4 linked regions of the Arabidopsis thaliana genome follow. The protein of the gene in region 1 purifies or fractionates together with the protein of each later gene. This does not show direct contact. Each region holds a gene or a part of one and is shown on either strand. Other genes may lie near its edges. The genes, in order: smB, SmD3, AT3G07590 and AT1G20580.

What was found.
Region 2: the proteins of smB (region 1) and SmD3 fractionate together in Arabidopsis thaliana (co-fractionation; one large-scale study listed by BioGRID). This does not show direct contact.
Region 3: the proteins of smB (region 1) and AT3G07590 fractionate together in Arabidopsis thaliana (co-fractionation; one large-scale study listed by BioGRID). This does not show direct contact.
Region 4: the proteins of smB (region 1) and AT1G20580 fractionate together in Arabidopsis thaliana (co-fractionation; one large-scale study listed by BioGRID). This does not show direct contact.

The regions. Positions count from the first base shown.
Region 1 is NC_003075.7:11,021,454-11,025,787, forward strand, and holds smB (small nuclear ribonucleoprotein associated protein B), read right to left. Parts: upstream 2,399-4,334; 5' UTR 2,164-2,398; coding exon 1,390-2,163; 3' UTR 1,386-1,389; exon of another isoform or gene 1,282-1,385; 3' UTR 583-1,281; downstream 1-582. Other genes in the region: AT4G20450 (Leucine-rich repeat protein kinase family protein), read right to left, coding at 2,601-3,009, 3,096-3,285, 3,390-3,455, 3,537-3,663, 3,758-3,957, 4,031-4,287.
Region 2 is NC_003070.9:28,624,171-28,627,967, reverse strand, and holds SmD3 (snRNP core protein SMD3), read right to left. Parts: upstream 2,098-3,797; 5' UTR 2,012-2,097; coding exon 1,853-2,011; intron 1,434-1,852; coding exon 1,381-1,433; intron 1,261-1,380; coding exon 1,200-1,260; intron 1,107-1,199; coding exon 1,050-1,106; intron 945-1,049; coding exon 888-944; 3' UTR 560-887; downstream 1-559. Other genes in the region: AT1G76290 (AMP-dependent synthetase and ligase family protein), read left to right, coding at 2,560-2,757, 2,828-3,544, 3,722-3,797. UniProt on the Arabidopsis thaliana protein: Core component of the spliceosomal U1, U2, U4 and U5 small nuclear ribonucleoproteins (snRNPs), the building blocks of the spliceosome. May play a minor role in the splicing of cellular pre-mRNAs.
Region 3 is NC_003074.8:2,421,457-2,425,222, reverse strand, and holds AT3G07590 (Small nuclear ribonucleoprotein family protein), read right to left. Parts: upstream 2,173-3,766; 5' UTR 2,078-2,172; coding exon 2,064-2,077; intron 1,925-2,063; coding exon 1,848-1,924; intron 1,770-1,847; exon of another isoform or gene 1,634-1,769; coding exon of another isoform or gene 1,621-1,633; coding exon 1,429-1,620; intron 1,327-1,428; coding exon 1,265-1,326; 3' UTR 1,236-1,264; downstream 1-1,235. Other genes in the region: AT3G07600 (Heavy metal transport/detoxification superfamily protein), read left to right, coding at 269-274, 377-455, 535-923; AT3G07580 (uncharacterized protein), read left to right, coding at 2,562-2,611, 2,728-2,759, 3,195-3,341, 3,567-3,617. UniProt on the Arabidopsis thaliana protein: Involved in splicing regulation.
Region 4 is NC_003070.9:7,126,857-7,131,356, reverse strand, and holds AT1G20580 (Small nuclear ribonucleoprotein family protein), read right to left. Parts: upstream 2,491-4,500; 5' UTR 2,379-2,490; coding exon 2,220-2,378; intron 1,579-2,219; coding exon 1,526-1,578; intron 1,433-1,525; coding exon 1,366-1,432; intron 1,270-1,365; coding exon 1,216-1,269; intron 1,049-1,215; coding exon 986-1,048; 3' UTR 558-985; downstream 1-557. Other genes in the region: AT1G20590 (cyclin), read left to right, coding at 35-191; DPMS1 (Nucleotide-diphospho-sugar transferases superfamily protein), read left to right, coding at 2,680-2,798, 3,224-3,323, 3,418-3,451, 3,533-3,609, 3,686-3,711, 3,802-3,966, 4,054-4,168, 4,266-4,370. UniProt on the Arabidopsis thaliana protein: Core component of the spliceosomal U1, U2, U4 and U5 small nuclear ribonucleoproteins (snRNPs), the building blocks of the spliceosome. May play a major role in the splicing of cellular pre-mRNAs. Required for normal plant development.

The sequences.
Region 1 (4,334 bases):
AAGAGGCAATGAAAAGGACGAGCACAGTGTTATTGAAAAACCAGAGTTTTGCAAAATTTAGCTGTTGGAACTTGTCGTCGGGTCCCATTTCTATCCTCTTTATAGTTTTTTTACTTAATTCAGTTCCACAGTTTTGCACTGAAATTTTAAAAGAAAACAATGTAACAATAACAAGTATTCGATTTTTCTTGATTTTAAGCATGTATATAAACCTTATCAATAAGAAATAGTCTGATACTAAATGAAAACTCCAATCCGTAATAATGAGTATCATACCGAATCTCCGATTAAGAAATAAACAAGTAACGACTATATATTAACCTTTAAAGTTGTCGCAGCCTTGTAATATTCTTTTGATCTTTTAAAATTATAAAGCTGAGATTTAGCAATGGTGGGGTTAACGTGAAGCATCATTAGGAGTGTTAATGGGTCACACTCACACCTATGTTTTTGACTTTTTTTTATTACCTTTCGTACTTTTGTTTTGTTTTCTATCTTTAACCTTCAACGGCACAATTCTTACACAGCCAAACAATCGCAGTGTGCAGTGTAAGTCAACACCATTTGTATACGTTCTCACTTGTCAAATCTTGGTTAGTGACCAAGCCTTATTGAATAATTGAAAGTTCTGAAAAATAATTCACTATAAACAAGTATTACTTACCATTCAACTAACCACACTAATTCACAATTTCATTTCATCAAAATTAACATATGTAAGAATGTGAAACCCAACCAAACTGAACCAACAGAATTTTGGTTAGATTTGAACTATATCCAAAATTGCAAGGTAATGTGACTTGTTAATCTTTTTATAGATCGACGAGTTCTTCATCACAAATAGCTGAATGTATCCACGATTCATCACAACATCCATAGCTCCCTAAACAAGGTTTTGACTTCTACCTAAACAATCCATAAACAAGGACAAGAGAGGTGATCAATAGTAGAACCGATTTAGCCCTTGTTCGAGTAAGATTCAGATGTGATCACTAGCTTAGTTTCTAGCTTTCTAAGATGTTATTAAGTTCCTCGAAATGGCGCAAGAAAGTTGCTGTTTCAACCTCAAAAGAGTTAGCAATGTAAAACGATCCTCAAGATAGATGTTTACCTTAAGAAGACATAACAAAGTTTAATGGATTCGTTCTTAAAAGAAAACACAAGAAGATAAGGCAAAGACAACTCACTCGTCAACAAATCTACAAACTTTGAAAGCTAAGATAGATGAGAAATTGCGGCTAAAGTCAATGAAAGGCAACATGATAGCACGATACCGTAAACCTGAGGAAGTTCAATCAAACATCTTAAAGCCTTCATAATCTCAAGAAAACAGCGACAAAAACAGTAAAAAGCCGAGACAAGAGTCCTGTTCATTCACTGCTAACCTAATCACTGCTGCTGATTATGTGGTGGCATGCCAGGACGCGGTGGAGCAAAACCACCAGGAGCAGGAGGCATTCCAGGGCGAGGCGGAGGAGGTCCTTGCATTCCATGAGGTGGAGGAGGAGGTCCTCTCATCATACCACCAGGAGGAGGAATCATTGGCCTTTGCCCATACTGAGGCGGTGGTGGTCCAGAAAACTGCTGTGGCGGTGGCCTCATACCATAAGGCGGTGGAGGACCTCTTCCCATAGGAGGACCTTGACCACCAAAAGGAGGCGGTGGCAACATCTGTCCCGGAGGTCGAATAATCGGAGGAGCTGAAAGCTGTGGTGGACGAGAGATCTGAGGCTGCATCATTCCCGGAGCAGGTCCACCAACACCACGAACAGGACCAGATAAACCAGGCTGAGCTTGAACTAACGGACCAGTAGGAACTCCACGCCCAGCGGCACGGCCAATTCCTGGACCAGCAACAGCAGCTGCAGAGCCAGCTTTAGCACGAGATTCTTCAGGAGGAGGTGGTCCTTCGACAGTCATTGAGATAACTTCTTCACCTCTAAGCAACACTAAACCTAGCGTACGGCGATCTTCACGCTCTTCGTTGATCTTCTTCCCTTTAGCTGGTGGAAGCTTACGAAACTCCTCGCAATCGCCGAGAACGAGGTTCATGTGACGGTCAAACGCCATGAACTTCCCAACGAGCTGTCTTCCGTCTTGGATCGTCACTCGCATCCTGTAGTTGATGAACTGAAGCATCTTTGAACTCTTCGACATCGACATTCTCGCCGATTGAATAGTAACACTCGCTACAAGCAGAGATTCGGCGGCGAAACCGAGTATGCCGGAGGATCGAAATCGAGCTTAGGGTTTCAAAAAACTAAATCGAGAGGCCAAAATTGGGGGGGTTTGGCTGTGCAAATCGGGAAGTGGGAAATTTCTAGGGTTTATAAATGAATACACTCTTGTTTATGGGCTTACTTTCATTATGGGCCCAAACATATTGGACTTGGGCTGCAATTAGTTGAATAGGCTACAATATTTGTTAGTTTGAGGCTCCAAGTTTCACTAAGCTTATTTTATGGAGCAAATCAGCAAATGTCAAAGTTTAATCGGGAACAAATGTGTAAAGTTCAACAAGATTAAAACAAATCTGATACATTGAATAAGGAAATATTTTGTTATTCAAAACACACGTGTATTCCTGAACTTGGCATGAACTAGCGTGCATCAGGGATATGTTCAGGACCAAAGCTTGTGCTCTGTTCAAGAGAACTCTTGGAGTCCACGTCATGTCTCCCTCCTTTCCTTGAGTTCTCAGTTAAGAGACACTCTTGTAGTTCATTAGCAACCTGGGACATATTTGGTCTTCCGGATGAAGATGGACTGACGCATGACATTGCTAACTCAAGAGCCTTCCACAATGAACTAGAGTCATAATCACCGTTCATACTTGGATCCACAATATTTTTGATATCTCCATTGGTTAACTTAAATCCCACCCATTCTCCTATGTGAGACTTCTCACGAGTTTGGTCAATCACTGGCTGACTTGTGATGATTTCCAGTAATACGACTCCAAAACTGAAGACATCACTCTTCTCTGTCAACCAGTTTGTTCGGTAATATCTATAATACGAATGAATAAAAAATTTACCAGATGGAAAGAGAAAGACACAACTTAAGTTCATTAAGTATTGTTATAGACCACTTACTCAGGGTCAAGATAACCTGGAGATCCAGCAACATTTGTTGACACATGAGTTTCACTTCCCACCGGAAAAGATCTTGAAAGCCCGAAATCACCAAGTTTGGCCTGGAAATTATTATCAAGAAGTATATTCATAGATTTGATATCTCTATGAATCATTGGTGGTTTGCAGCCGATATGCAAGTACTCCAGTCCTATATAATACAACTCATAAAAGGTTTATTTCAAAACTCACCAAGAGAAGTGAACATCTCAAAAAATTTGCAATGTTATCTTTTTCTCAAAACTTCAAACGAACCTTGTGCTGTCTCTGCAGCAATTCTTAGCCTATTTTCCCAACTCAAAGGGGACCTAGAATTTTCTCCTGTACTCATAAAGATGTGTGTATGTTATAAGATGACACACGATCATTGTGTTTAGAAACAAATTAGGTAATCAAGGTTACCAGATAGATGTTGTTTTAAGTTTCCATTGGACATGTACTCGTAGATGAGGACCAAGTGTTGTCCTTCGTCACAATAACCAACAAGAGTTACTAAATTTATGTGGTGTACTCTGAGAAGAAGGTCTACCTAGCAAACCACAAGTAACCCAAAAGTTGGTAAATCATATATATACATTTTATTTGAGTATATGAATAATTAAACTTAATGATAGTGAAGGTACCTCAGCTTTAAATTGCTTATATCCTTGAGCTGAGGATTCAGAGAGCACCTTTACAGCCACTTGTTCGTTATCATTTACATTACCGTGGTACACGACTCCAAATCCTCCTTCGCCAAGAGGTCTCTCAAAATTGTTTGTAATTACCGCAACCTCTTCATAAGTATAGCTTCTCTTGTTCGCCACCATTGATGAGCGTGAAGCTATTATATACCATACATTATATACTTAAGTACAAATTTGAAGTTAATGAGTTTTAATTAGTCCTGAGCTTACCTTTGGATGGCTTCTTCTTTCTAAGTAAGAGAATGTTGACGAGAAGAAGCACAGCTATAATAATTCCCACAGAAGCAGCTGATGCAAGAATAGGTACTAGCAATTTCTTTTTGTTATTCCCAGGACCAGTTTCACTTTCGCATGATGGATCCAAACAGAGGTTATTTCCATTATACAGCAACGTTATTAGCCCATTCTTTTCCATGTTGAGAAGGCTTTGAGGAATTGAGCCGCTAAGATTGTTCCCACTCAAGTTTCTGTGCAATGTATATAAAACGTTATTAGATGCATCCATTTAAAGATT
Region 2 (3,797 bases), on another chromosome or scaffold:
TTGCATCATATGGGGGGGAAGTTTCTGAACACGTACGTATCTCTGTGTGGGTTCACTTGTTTGTTTTCGAAATATCTGTGGATGGTTTAGTCTTCTCATTTTCGTTGATAAGAGAATAACAGAAAGCGTTTTTTAAAACTCTTAACTTTTTAGGGTTCTTCATTTCAACATATTTTTCCGCTCTTCTTTCCAAATGTCCAAGTCATATCTTATCACTCACAATCACAAGTTCACAACATTTGTCGCGAAAATAAATTAGGCTTCTGGTTTTGTGGACATAATCACTTTGATCTCTTGACTTGGTCGTTCAAGTCGCTAAATTTCTTGAAAAAAACAAGAACCAGTCGATTTTACAACTACCTATGCTGAAGCCGCTCGGGCCGCGGTCCAGTCATGGTGGCCGAAACTAAACCATGAAATCGCGGTTGCCGCTTTTTACCATTACCTATGTCGAATGTTTTATTTCCTACTACAACTCAAGTGTCTTCTCCGTTTTTATCCGACCATCTTTATCAGATTAATAAACGAATGAATATAATAAATGGATAAAAACGACCGCTTTTAGAAAACCATCATTTTATGATTTCTGATTTCTACCAAGATTAAAAAGACGAATCATTCATTATAGAAATTTGAATCGTGCTATATTATACATAAGATGTGGGAAGTCTCTCAATGACCACATTAACAAAACATGTCAATTTTTCAAACATCTTAGTAACCCAAAACACAGAACTAGTTCCTCTTTCTCTCTTCCCTCCATGTCTTAGAGATTTTACTTGCTGTGTACCTTAAATGCATAAGTGACGAGCTGAAGATGGCGGATTCTCATGGATACTGCAGAGAATGTCTCACGAGCCGAAGCTACATTACGAGGGTTAACTAAACTATCTCCTCACAGGTGGCACAGCCCCTCTTCCTCCTCCTGTTCCACGCCCAGTACCCTGAGTATGACATCACAAAATTCAATTAGTTGCTTTGAATTGTCAACATTGTCTTCTTGAGATGTAAATCAGAAACATTAAGGACTTAGGCAAAGGTGAACTTACTTTGGCTCGCATTGCAGCACCTCTACCTCTGCCTACACCTAGTGAAGCGCTCTTTCCCTGTATTGATCAAGTAAACAAGATGTTTATTAGCTTCCATGTTTATAAAGCATAGATGGGATTGATATTCTCCATCACGTTCAAGAAGTTTACCTTGCCCCTAACATCCTTGAACATTGGAGCATTCTTTAACATGTCTGGTATGACTAAAAACCTGTCAAGATTTTACAAAATGTCACATAACAGTCAGCTAAGTTGAAAAAGAATACTCCAACAAAAGTAAATAAGTAGGAAACAAGCAGAGATGTCAAAAGGAGTTTATATCTAGCAGCACCTGACTAAGCTGCCTCGAATGAAGACATGCTCAAGCTGTGATACCTTACCATCCTGTTCCATAAAGAGCCCAAACGAAAGTTTAGTAACAATCATGAATAGAAGATACTAAATTTCTAATCACAATCTACAAATGTGTAAGAGCATATATCTGTAGTAACAATTCAAGATCAATTATATAGTCTTGTAATTTGTTTAATCGCAAACATGTCATGATTCTACATAGTAACAACATAAGCAAGACCTGTAATAACATTTCTTCTCTACTACTAGCATATACAGGAACTAAACCCAATCACTACTAGGAACACAATTTAAGGGTCAAGAATTTCACAAGGATTCTCAATTCTCCTCCAAAATTGAACTACTCTCAACATCACAAGAAAGAGACAACCTAAGAAGCTAAACTGTTCACAGCTCCTACATAGGCAATGGCCAAGAAACGAAACCCTAGTAACTTAGTAAGACATTACCTTGGCCGTATAGGTGATGTTCTCGAGCTGACAGTTCCAATTATCCTCACACTCGATCATGCTTCCTCTGTAAAGCTCACCGCTCTTCATCTCTACACTCACGATATGACCGGACGATTCGTGAAGAAGCTTCACCGGAATCCCCAAACTCCGACTCATCTTCGTCGATTCACTAAACCCTAATTGAACCTTCCCTTTTCCTTTTTAGCAGCCAAAAAGCTTTGAACAATTTAGCTTCTCTCGTTAAAGCTCCACACTCTTATGGACTTCTTATTTAGATTTTGGATCGGCCCATTAGTTTATTGGGCCCATTAGTTGAATGTTGTGTGCCTTTTTTGTTACTTTGTTTTTACTCTTAAGTTTTATTAGTATAAGATAAGATAAGATTTGTTTAGTTGACCCAAAAAAATAAAAAGATAAGAACTGTTTGTAAATTAAAGCTCCTCTACACTTGTGACAACTAGCCGAGTGGTGATTAGATTCAAAAAAAAAAGTTGTGACAACTCAGATTCTCTAAACAGATGTTGCAATGTACAAATCTTCTTCACAGATTCTGATTTAATTGCCAATTTGGCTTCTTGTAGTCCATATTAATCAAAGATTCCATATTAATTGTTTGGAGCGTTACACAAAATAGTTTGCCTATAAATACTCCACAATTTTTATATGATTTTAGTAGCTCAATAGAGAATAACAATAGAAAAGAAATGGAAGGAACAATGAGGTGCTCAGCGAATTACGTCCCGCTTTCTCCGATCAGCTTTCTCGAGAGAGCTGCTGTCGTCTTCGGCTCCAGAACCTCTGTCGTGTATGGTGATATTCAGTACACGTGGCACCAAACACGTGACCGTTGCGTCCGCCTTGCATCTGCTCTCTCTGACCTTGGTCTCTCTCGCCATGACGTTGTAAGTGGTTAAACGACTTTTATATATTGGTCATACTTTTTTCTTTTGTTTAAACTATTTCTTTTATCAGGTGGCTGCTTTAGCGCCAAATGTTCCTGCGTTATGCGAGCTTTATTTTGGAGCTCCGATGGCTGGAGCAGTACTTTGCGTGTTGAACACGACATTCGATTCTCAGATGCTTGCGATGGCGCTGGAGAAAACGAAGCCAAAAGTATTCTTCGTTGACTCTGAGTTCCTCTCTGTCGCTGAAGAATCTCTCAGTCTCCTCTCAAACATTGAAGAAAAACCTCTCATCATCACAATCACAGAAAATCCAACAGAGCAATCAAAATATGAACAATACGAGGATTTTCTCTCCACTGGAAACCCTAATTTCAAACCAATACGACCAGTTGACGAATGTGATCCAATCGCCCTCAACTTCACATCTGGAACCACATCGACTCCCAAATGTGTCGTCTATAGTCATCGCGGTGCCTATCTGAACGCAACTGCTGTTGGTGTTATGAATGAGATGAAACCAATGCCGGTTTATCTATGTACAGTTCCTATGTATCATTGTAGCGGGTGGTGCTATATTTGGACAGTTACGGCTTTTGGAGGAGTCATCGTCTGTCTCAGGGAAGTCAACGACGAAGTTATATTTGATAGTATCGTGAAGCACAAGGTAACTAACTTTGGTGGCTCGCCTCCGGTTCTCAACATGATTGCTAATGCAAGAGACTCGGTCAAGAAGTCGTTTCCATGGACCGTACAGGTTATGAGCGGAGGATCCTCTCCTCCTGAGGTAAAACTAACTATCACAGAGTTTTGAATTACATGTTTGTTCAATCAGGCTTATTTGGTTGAACTTCCATATTTTGAGGTTATATATAATCAATCCCTTGCTTTATACGTTAGCTCCGTCACAGTACATTAATATTTAACATAGAATCATAGTAAAGATATTAATTTATTTGGACAGGTCATGTTGAAACTCAAGAAGCTAGGATTCAAAGTGATGATGGCTTATGGATGCTCGGAGGTGTATGGACTAGGAA
Region 3 (3,766 bases), on another chromosome or scaffold:
TAGGCTTTTTAAAATTAAAAAATTGGTAATAAGCTCGTACGAATCGGCAACTAGAACCAATAAAACACGTAAGGACCGAAGATATGAACCTGACAACGATATTCAAACTATCGGATTCCGTTGTGTGAGACAACGACTCATGGAACAAATGAATATATAAAATCGATCCTTATTTATATTTCCTCTAATTTGTGATCGAAGAAGACACAAAAAAGTTCGGAGCAAACTCCCATCAAACAAATCACGCGGATTCTCAGAAGACAATAACATGAAGGTATGTCTCCTGTGTACTCAACAACAAGTAATAACTTCGATTCTCTTGTGAAAGAGAGAGACTTCTCTTTGTGATGTTAAGGAGTTCTCTTATTGTACTCAGCAAAAGATCCTGATAAGAATTGCTATGACTGATGACACAACTCGAGCAAAGGCAATGAAAACTGCGGTTCAGTTTAAAGGTAACAATGATACAAACACTAGAGAACTTGATGATTGTAATTCTTGTTGAATCTAAAGATTTATCGCATTGGTTTATAGGCGTGAACGCTGTGGAAATAAAGGGAGATCACAGGAACCAGATTGAGGTGACCGGTGTTGAAGTCGATATGATTGCTCTAATCAACACACTCAGGAAAAAAGTTGCATTTGCGGAGCTTGTTAGCGTAGCTAAAGTTGAACCACCTAAGGATGGTGACAAAAAGCCAGAAGAAGAAAAGAAACCCGAAGAGAAGAAACCCGAAGAGAAGAAACCTGAAGAGAAGAAACCTGAGCCATGTTGTCAACCATGGCAAAAACCTGAGCCATGTTATCAACCATGGCCTCATGATGGATATGGTGTGCCATCTTCCTATCCCTACCCGTGTGATCCCTACAATCAGATCGGGGAACCCGTTTACAATCAAGATCCCAATTGCAGGATCATGTGAGATAGGTTTCATGTGGAAGATTAACGGAGGAGATAGCAGTTTTTCTATACTAAGATTGTCAACATGTTAATGCAATTTGATAGTCAGATTTGTTAAATGAATAAAAAGTCTTGAGCTATCAGTATCACACAAATTCTCTACTTGTAGATGCTCTTATAACATGTAAAGCCAAATCTTGTTATCCATGGAATTCCATTACAAAGTAACTCCTTACTAGAGCATCAATCATACTATTTCTCAATCAAATCTTTCCTTTGCCAGAGTTGCTAGTTACATAACTCGTACATTCTCCTAAAAATTAAACTCACAAACCTTCAACATGTTCCAGAGCGCTGCTACATCTAACGACCTCTGCCGCGACCACGCCCACGGCCACGTCCGCGACCGCGTCCAACAGCTTTCCCTAAAGAAGAAAGAAAGAGAGAACGAATAAATGGACTGATAAAGAAGTCTTTTAGCTTATGAAGACGAATATTACAAACACCAAAAATGAATGAAGCAGTACCAGCAACAGGCTTCTTAGGTTTAACTCTAGGAGTGTCTTCCACAAGTAAAGTCTCGAGGTTCAAGCTATCAGGAAGAATGTAGTAGCGAATATTATTACCCCTCAAGCTAAGATGATCAAGTGTTACTGGGTTTTTCCCCTTCAGGCTCATCTTCACTGTCTTCAAGTGAGTGTTCATGCTCACATCAACACCTGCCCAAATCATCAAGCTTAAACTTCAATAAATATACCTTTATGACTACTGGCTCTAACTGTGTGTTTACTCAACCTATTCATGTGATCACAAGGACGCGATTAGGGCCAATTGAAAATAAGGGAACAGATCGCGACTTGTATAAGACCTAGCAACGGAGAAATCGAGAGAGAAGAAAAGATGAGAAGAGCTACAAAGAAACCGGAAGCTAACAATAAGAACTTACCAGTGATGGTTCCATGGACCACAGTCCCATTCTTCAGCTCGATAGACACAGTTTCATTGTTTAACTTCATCAAAAACCTACTCGATCCAATCAAAACCATATAACACAAATCAGCTCAGGCTCAATATTGGGAATGGATTCCATGCCAGGAGCTAACTAAGATTAAGAACAACATGAATTTTCTAAAGAAAAGAAGAACTGAGAACGAAACAGTACCTGACGAGCTTCATCTTTGGATGCGAAGAAAGAACAACCAAACAAAGAAATTGACGAGGAAACAGCGAAAGGTGTGAAAACCCTCAAAACCCTTCTTTCGCTGTGAGAGACCTCACGATGGAGCGGGTACAGATCCGATTCCGGTTTTGGATCCATCAGCTAAATTACAATATTGGGCCCAAAAATGTAGTAAGGCCCATAAAGTCCAATGGTGGACCAGTAGATGTTTCAACCAGAAATCTACATACAGTTGGTTCAGCAAACCGGAAATTGAACACGAAACGTTAATTTCGGAAAGGCGTAATAAAAGCGCGCGAGAGGTTGATAAACACGCGTCGAAGAATTCGCGCGTGAAGATTGAACGACTTCAGACGAGAAGACGCTTTTCAACGTTCTCTATGCGTTAAACAGTTGACTGTTGACAGATCTCCTCCGGTAGAGAGAGAGAGAGAGAGAGAGAGAGTTCTCTGAAAAAACTGCGTAAATCCTAACTCGTCAATGGCGGATTCGAGCTCCAATCAGAATCGATACACTCCTCCTAATCAAAGGTAACTTCTTCTTCTTCTTCTTCAGTGGTCTTTGATCTGCTGATTTCGAGTGTTCTTTATTCTACTGATTTCGCTACTCCGTTCTTACCTTTCGATGTTGCTTCTCCGTGTCACAGGAAGGCTTCTGGGAATCGCCGGAAGTCGGGAGGTATGTGAGCTCTCTCTCTCTCTCTCTGTCTTCTTTGCCTCAGTCGTTCTTTATTGATTCTTAATCAATTCGGTTCTTAATTCCGAGAGTATCTAGTTCTGTGGAGATTATAGCTTAGATCAAAGATTGTCGATGAATAGAAGTAATCTTGTTTTGTAGATTCAGGAATTGATTGCATGCGAATCTGTACACATTGTGTTTGTGCATAGTTGGTAACTTCAAGAACCGTTTCTAAGAAAGTGAATTATTAGGAGTTTAGCCTGAAATTCAGATCTCGCTCTCTCTTTATTAGCAAATCCGCTGGTTGATTCATTTCTCCATGTGTGTACTTGACCCATTTGTTTGCCTGTTTTCTTGAAAATAAATCGTCGTTCAAGCTATATCTGGTTTTGCTAGTATGCTATGGTTCTTGGCTAAATAAAGAGTGAAATGCAGATCGAACAAGTAGCCAACAGAACAACGATAATGAGAGAAATCAGCCTCCTGCTACTGGTCTTCAGATGGAAAACATATCCCAGACCCAGAGGATAATAACAATAAAGGACTGCTCCAGGAGTGCAGCTTATCAGCTCATGAGCCAACGTATAAATCTGAACTATCTCTTTAAACATTTAGCTGGTTTATTCTTTGCTCTGTATCACTATCTGGTCGTTCTTCTATCAACTGTTGCTATGCTAAGCATTTGTTGAGTCAGTGCTAGTTTTAGAAATCTTTGAACTTAATAGATAAGGTGTGTTGAATTCACTGCTTATGCAGTCAGTTTTATGTACTTGTCTTATTTACGTGCTCTTGATTTGTCATGAACAGGATGGGCAGCTGAAATGCATCAATACGACGACCCAACTGTGGATCTATCTGGTGAGATTAAGGGATTCTAAGTTTTCCTTTGTCCTTTGTGTCTATTATACTTGTGCTGCTTGAGTTGCCTCCAAATACAATCAGATATATCTATGTTCTTATCTGGATCTCTGTCTTCCGGTTAGTCAAGTATAACTGATTTTCAAGTT
Region 4 (4,500 bases), on another chromosome or scaffold:
GAATCCTGACAATGGGTTTTGTGTTTTTTCCTAGGGCATGTGCGAGAAAGATGGTTGCTTTTCATCACAAGGCAGGAACAGGGAAGCTCACAGGAAGTACAACACATCTAAGTTCTTTCATGCTGCAAGAAGTGAACCAGCTGGGTTTCTGCTTTAAGGGAGGAAAAAACTATAATAAGAATCTAATATGACATAACTCGAGTTTTTCTTTTGAACAAAAAGAGTGTGAGAGAAAGAGAGATAGAGCAAGTTGCCCAAATGGGATATGTACAATGGTTGGTTCGGTTCTTCTCTTTTTAAGGTCTTTAAGATCTTTCTTCACTTGAGAGAGAATAAAAAGAATCTTTTGATATCATGCTTTCCTATATTCAACTTGTGAATTGATCCTACTAATTTCATGTATAATCGTTGTAAAATACTCAGGAAACTCTATGACCCATTTTGGTTAATATTACTCAGGAACCGAACCTCTACACTCCATCAAATATTCTTCTACAAGTCGTTTTGGTGTTTGCTGGTACTCTGGAACTAAACTTTTATAGACTAAATATTGTACAAGTCATTTTGGAAATTTTTTGGATAATTTGGGAAAATAGCAGTAGACAAGGTTTTACATGTTGAAAATACAAGTACAATATTATTTTCTAGCTTATATTATTAATGTTATAAATGACCAACTTTGTTTTCTGATCTTAGTCTTATTAAGACCTTTATGAAAACAATGTACTTTGTTTTACTCATCTACTGTCAGAAATGGAGAATGCGCAAAGAAGAAAATAGATCACAACGAAAACTTGTCAATGATTCAAACATCTTGGTAACCCAAAATACAGAACTAGTAGTGCATCTGGATATCTCTCTCTCTTGTTTGGTTTTACAGTGTTCTCTAAAGCATTAATGACAGAACCAAGAAAGGCGGCTTTCACCTGGATATCACAGAAAGACTATCCCAGAATCAAAGCTTACATGTTGAGCGTAAAATCAATCATCTCCTCACAGGTGGTACCGCTCCCCTTCCTCCAGTTCCACGCCCGGGCCCGGCAGCCGGCTTTAAGATAATATCACAAAGATTCAAGAATCTAACCATTAGTAGTGACAAAGAAGAAACAAACCATTAAGGGATAACAAGGATTTGAACATCTTAACAAGTTCCATAAAACTTCCTAACATTGCATTCATGAGCACTAAATCATAAGAGAGAGAGGGTGAACTTACTTTCCCTCGCATTGCACCTCTACCTCTGCCAACACCCAGTGATGAGCTCTTTCCCTACATTGATTAAGCAAGTAAGGTAAGATGTTTGTTGGAGATATGTATAGAGATCCTAATATCATTCTGCATCCAGGGTTCAAAAAGCATATATACCTTGATTCTAGCATCTAACCGCTTGAACATTGGAGCATGTTTGAGAATGTCTGGTATGACCATAAACCTGTCAAGATATATCCGCAGGTCAATTACTAAACAGCTAGGGTTAACAAGAATGATCCCATGAATTACATAAACAAGGAAACAAGTACAGCACCTGACTTTACTGCCTCGAATGAAGACATGCTCAAGCTGTGATACCTTACCATCCTGTAACACAGCATTGGAAAACCCAAAACAAAAGTTCAGTGACAATTAACAAACAAACCCATTAAGTTGACAGATTATTTATGTATACTATGAAGAATAACACTTAAAGAGTTAAGACTTTCTGAATTGAGAACTACATGTAGTTCTTTTCCCAATAATTACAGGTTGACTCAAAACCCATACGGCACAATAATCCGCAAATAAGAGGACGCTTTAAGACCTGCATACTTCAGATAATTCACATTTGACCACTGTATTCCTAAAGAGCAACTTAGGCTTTGGATAAAACGTTACAAAGCACAAACGTAGAACCTTTCTTCTCAGTTATTGATGTGTCCTATAGATCAATAATAAGTTTAACCAATCAGAGGAGACTATACCCTACAGTCAAAATTTATCTAATGTCACTGGCAGGATCACGCATTCTAGGGTTTTATACAGCATGAATTTCAAGGATTCTTAATCTCACTTAGAACTTAAAATAAGAAGCAATCTAAAATTTCCCAGCAAATTTGCCCAGCTCACCAAATCTAGGGTTTTAACAGCACTAACATCAAACAATGAAATTGAAACGAAACCTATGGTTCAAAAAACAGTCTCATATAAAATGAATCGAGATCTTCAGAGTATCAGTTGATTACCTTGGCGGTATAAGTAATATCCTCGAGCTGACAGTTCCAGTTATCCTCACACTCAATCATACTTCCTCTGTAAAGCTCGCCGCTCTTTAGCTCCACCGTCACGATATGACCTGAGGCCTCGTGAAGAAGCTTCACCGGTATTCCCAAACTTCGGCTCATCTTTCTCTCTACAAAACCCTAATTGAAAACCTTCTCCTTTAACTCTGCAACCTAGAAAGAAAAAAATGGCGGAAGGAAAGAAGAGCGACTCAGATGCGATTGACGAGTTTACCTCTTTTAAAGCTTTCCTGATTTATTTTTGGGCTTTATATAGGCCCATATTTATATTAGGCCCAATTTGAGAAACTTGCTTTTTAGTCCCTATATTTGACATTATTTTAATCCTTATTTTTGTACAGACGACGGCTGATTTCACGGGTTAAGACGAAGGAACCACCGTTACCAAAACTCGCCGGAAGAGATGGCGGACGAGATGGAGACCAAAGGAGAGAAGAAGTACAAGTATAGCATAATCATTCCTACCTACAACGAGCGCCTCAACATCGCTATCATAGTCTACCTGATTTTCAAGCATCTCCGGTAAATGAATATTTATTTCTTTTGGTCTTTTCACGTTCATTCTTTCATTTCAGAATCGGAATTACGTTTTTTGTTATTCTTTTACTGAATACTCGAACCTGATCGCCAATTTCAAGTTACGGATCTCGGAAATTTTCCGATCATGTTTCTGTAGATTGCAGATCCTAATTCGTGATTTGTTGTTTCTGTGCATGAGCTAGTAAAGGCCAATGTAGTGATCCCTCAAACTATATAGTAGTAGTTTCATGGTGTTTTAAAAACTTTGATTTAGTGATCGGAGAATAGTCAGAAGCTACATGTGCTAATCTTAGATCGATTCTGGTTATGGCTGCTTATATGAAATTAATATAGAATTGCACTTGTTAAGTAGACTCTTTGTTAACTGTTACTGAGAATTTGCTTCGCTACTTGTTTGTATGATTTAGGGACGTTGATTTTGAGATAATTGTTGTGGATGATGGGAGTCCTGATGGCACACAGGAAATTGTCAAGCAACTGCAGCAATTGTATGGTGAAGACCGTATCGTGAGTACAATGATGTGTTAAGACCTTAATTTGTAAATTATTGGGCGTTCTTCTGTTTAGGTGAAATCATGTTTTTATCTTTTTTATGATGCAGCTTTTAAGAGCTAGAGCCAAGAAGCTTGGTTTGGGTATGTAATTTGTATCTTCATTGTCTTCTAGTTTTGGTTAACAAGAAATGAAATTAATTTTCTTGGCATGGTCAATCTCAGGAACTGCATATATTCATGGTTTGAAGCATGCTACGGGTGATTTCGTCGTGATCATGGATGCTGATCTTTCACATCATGTAAGAGCCATTAATTTAGTTTTCTTGTTTACCTGTTTAATTGTTTAGCTAACCCAGTCACTTTTCTTCTGTGCAGCCAAAATACTTACCAAGTTTCATCAAGTAAGAAAAAGAAGAGTCTCTTGATCTCTTACTAGTTTCACAACCTATAGTGACTTCAACTGATTTGTTTTTTTTCTTATTATCATAAAGGAAACAACTAGAGACAAATGCAAGTATAGTAACTGGTACACGATATGTAAAAGGTGGTGGTGTACACGGGTGGAATCTTATGCGGAAACTCACTAGTAGAGGAGCAAATGTGCTAGCTCAAACACTTTTATGGCCTGGTGTATCTGATTTAACAGGATCATTCCGGTATAATTCAAATAACATATGCGCATATTTTTAACTGACATCATTTGATAGTATCATGTCTGACCTCCGCACCTCTTTGTTTGGAAGGCTATACAAGAAATCGGCGCTTGAAGACGTGATTAGCTCATGTGTGAGTAAAGGGTATGTCTTTCAGATGGAAATGATTGTTCGTGCAACCAGAAAAGGATACCATATTGAAGAGGTCTCTCTTTTTATACCAATTCACTGTGATTTTGATTCTTTCTAAACTATATTTCCATTCATATTCTTGATTCTCTGGTGCTCATCTTCATCTGCAGGTACCGATCACTTTTGTTGACAGAGTCTTTGGAACTTCGAAACTCGGAGGATCTGAAATAGTGGAATATCTAAAAGGCCTCGTCTATCTCCTGCTTACAACTTAAGACACACCAAGCAACTCAACAACACACGAGTCTCTCTTTATACTCTTCATTTGTTCCATTGCTTCATAGATTTCTCTTAACAGTTGAACTCTGATCATGTCGTTTAGAAACTTCACTTACTTTGACTTCA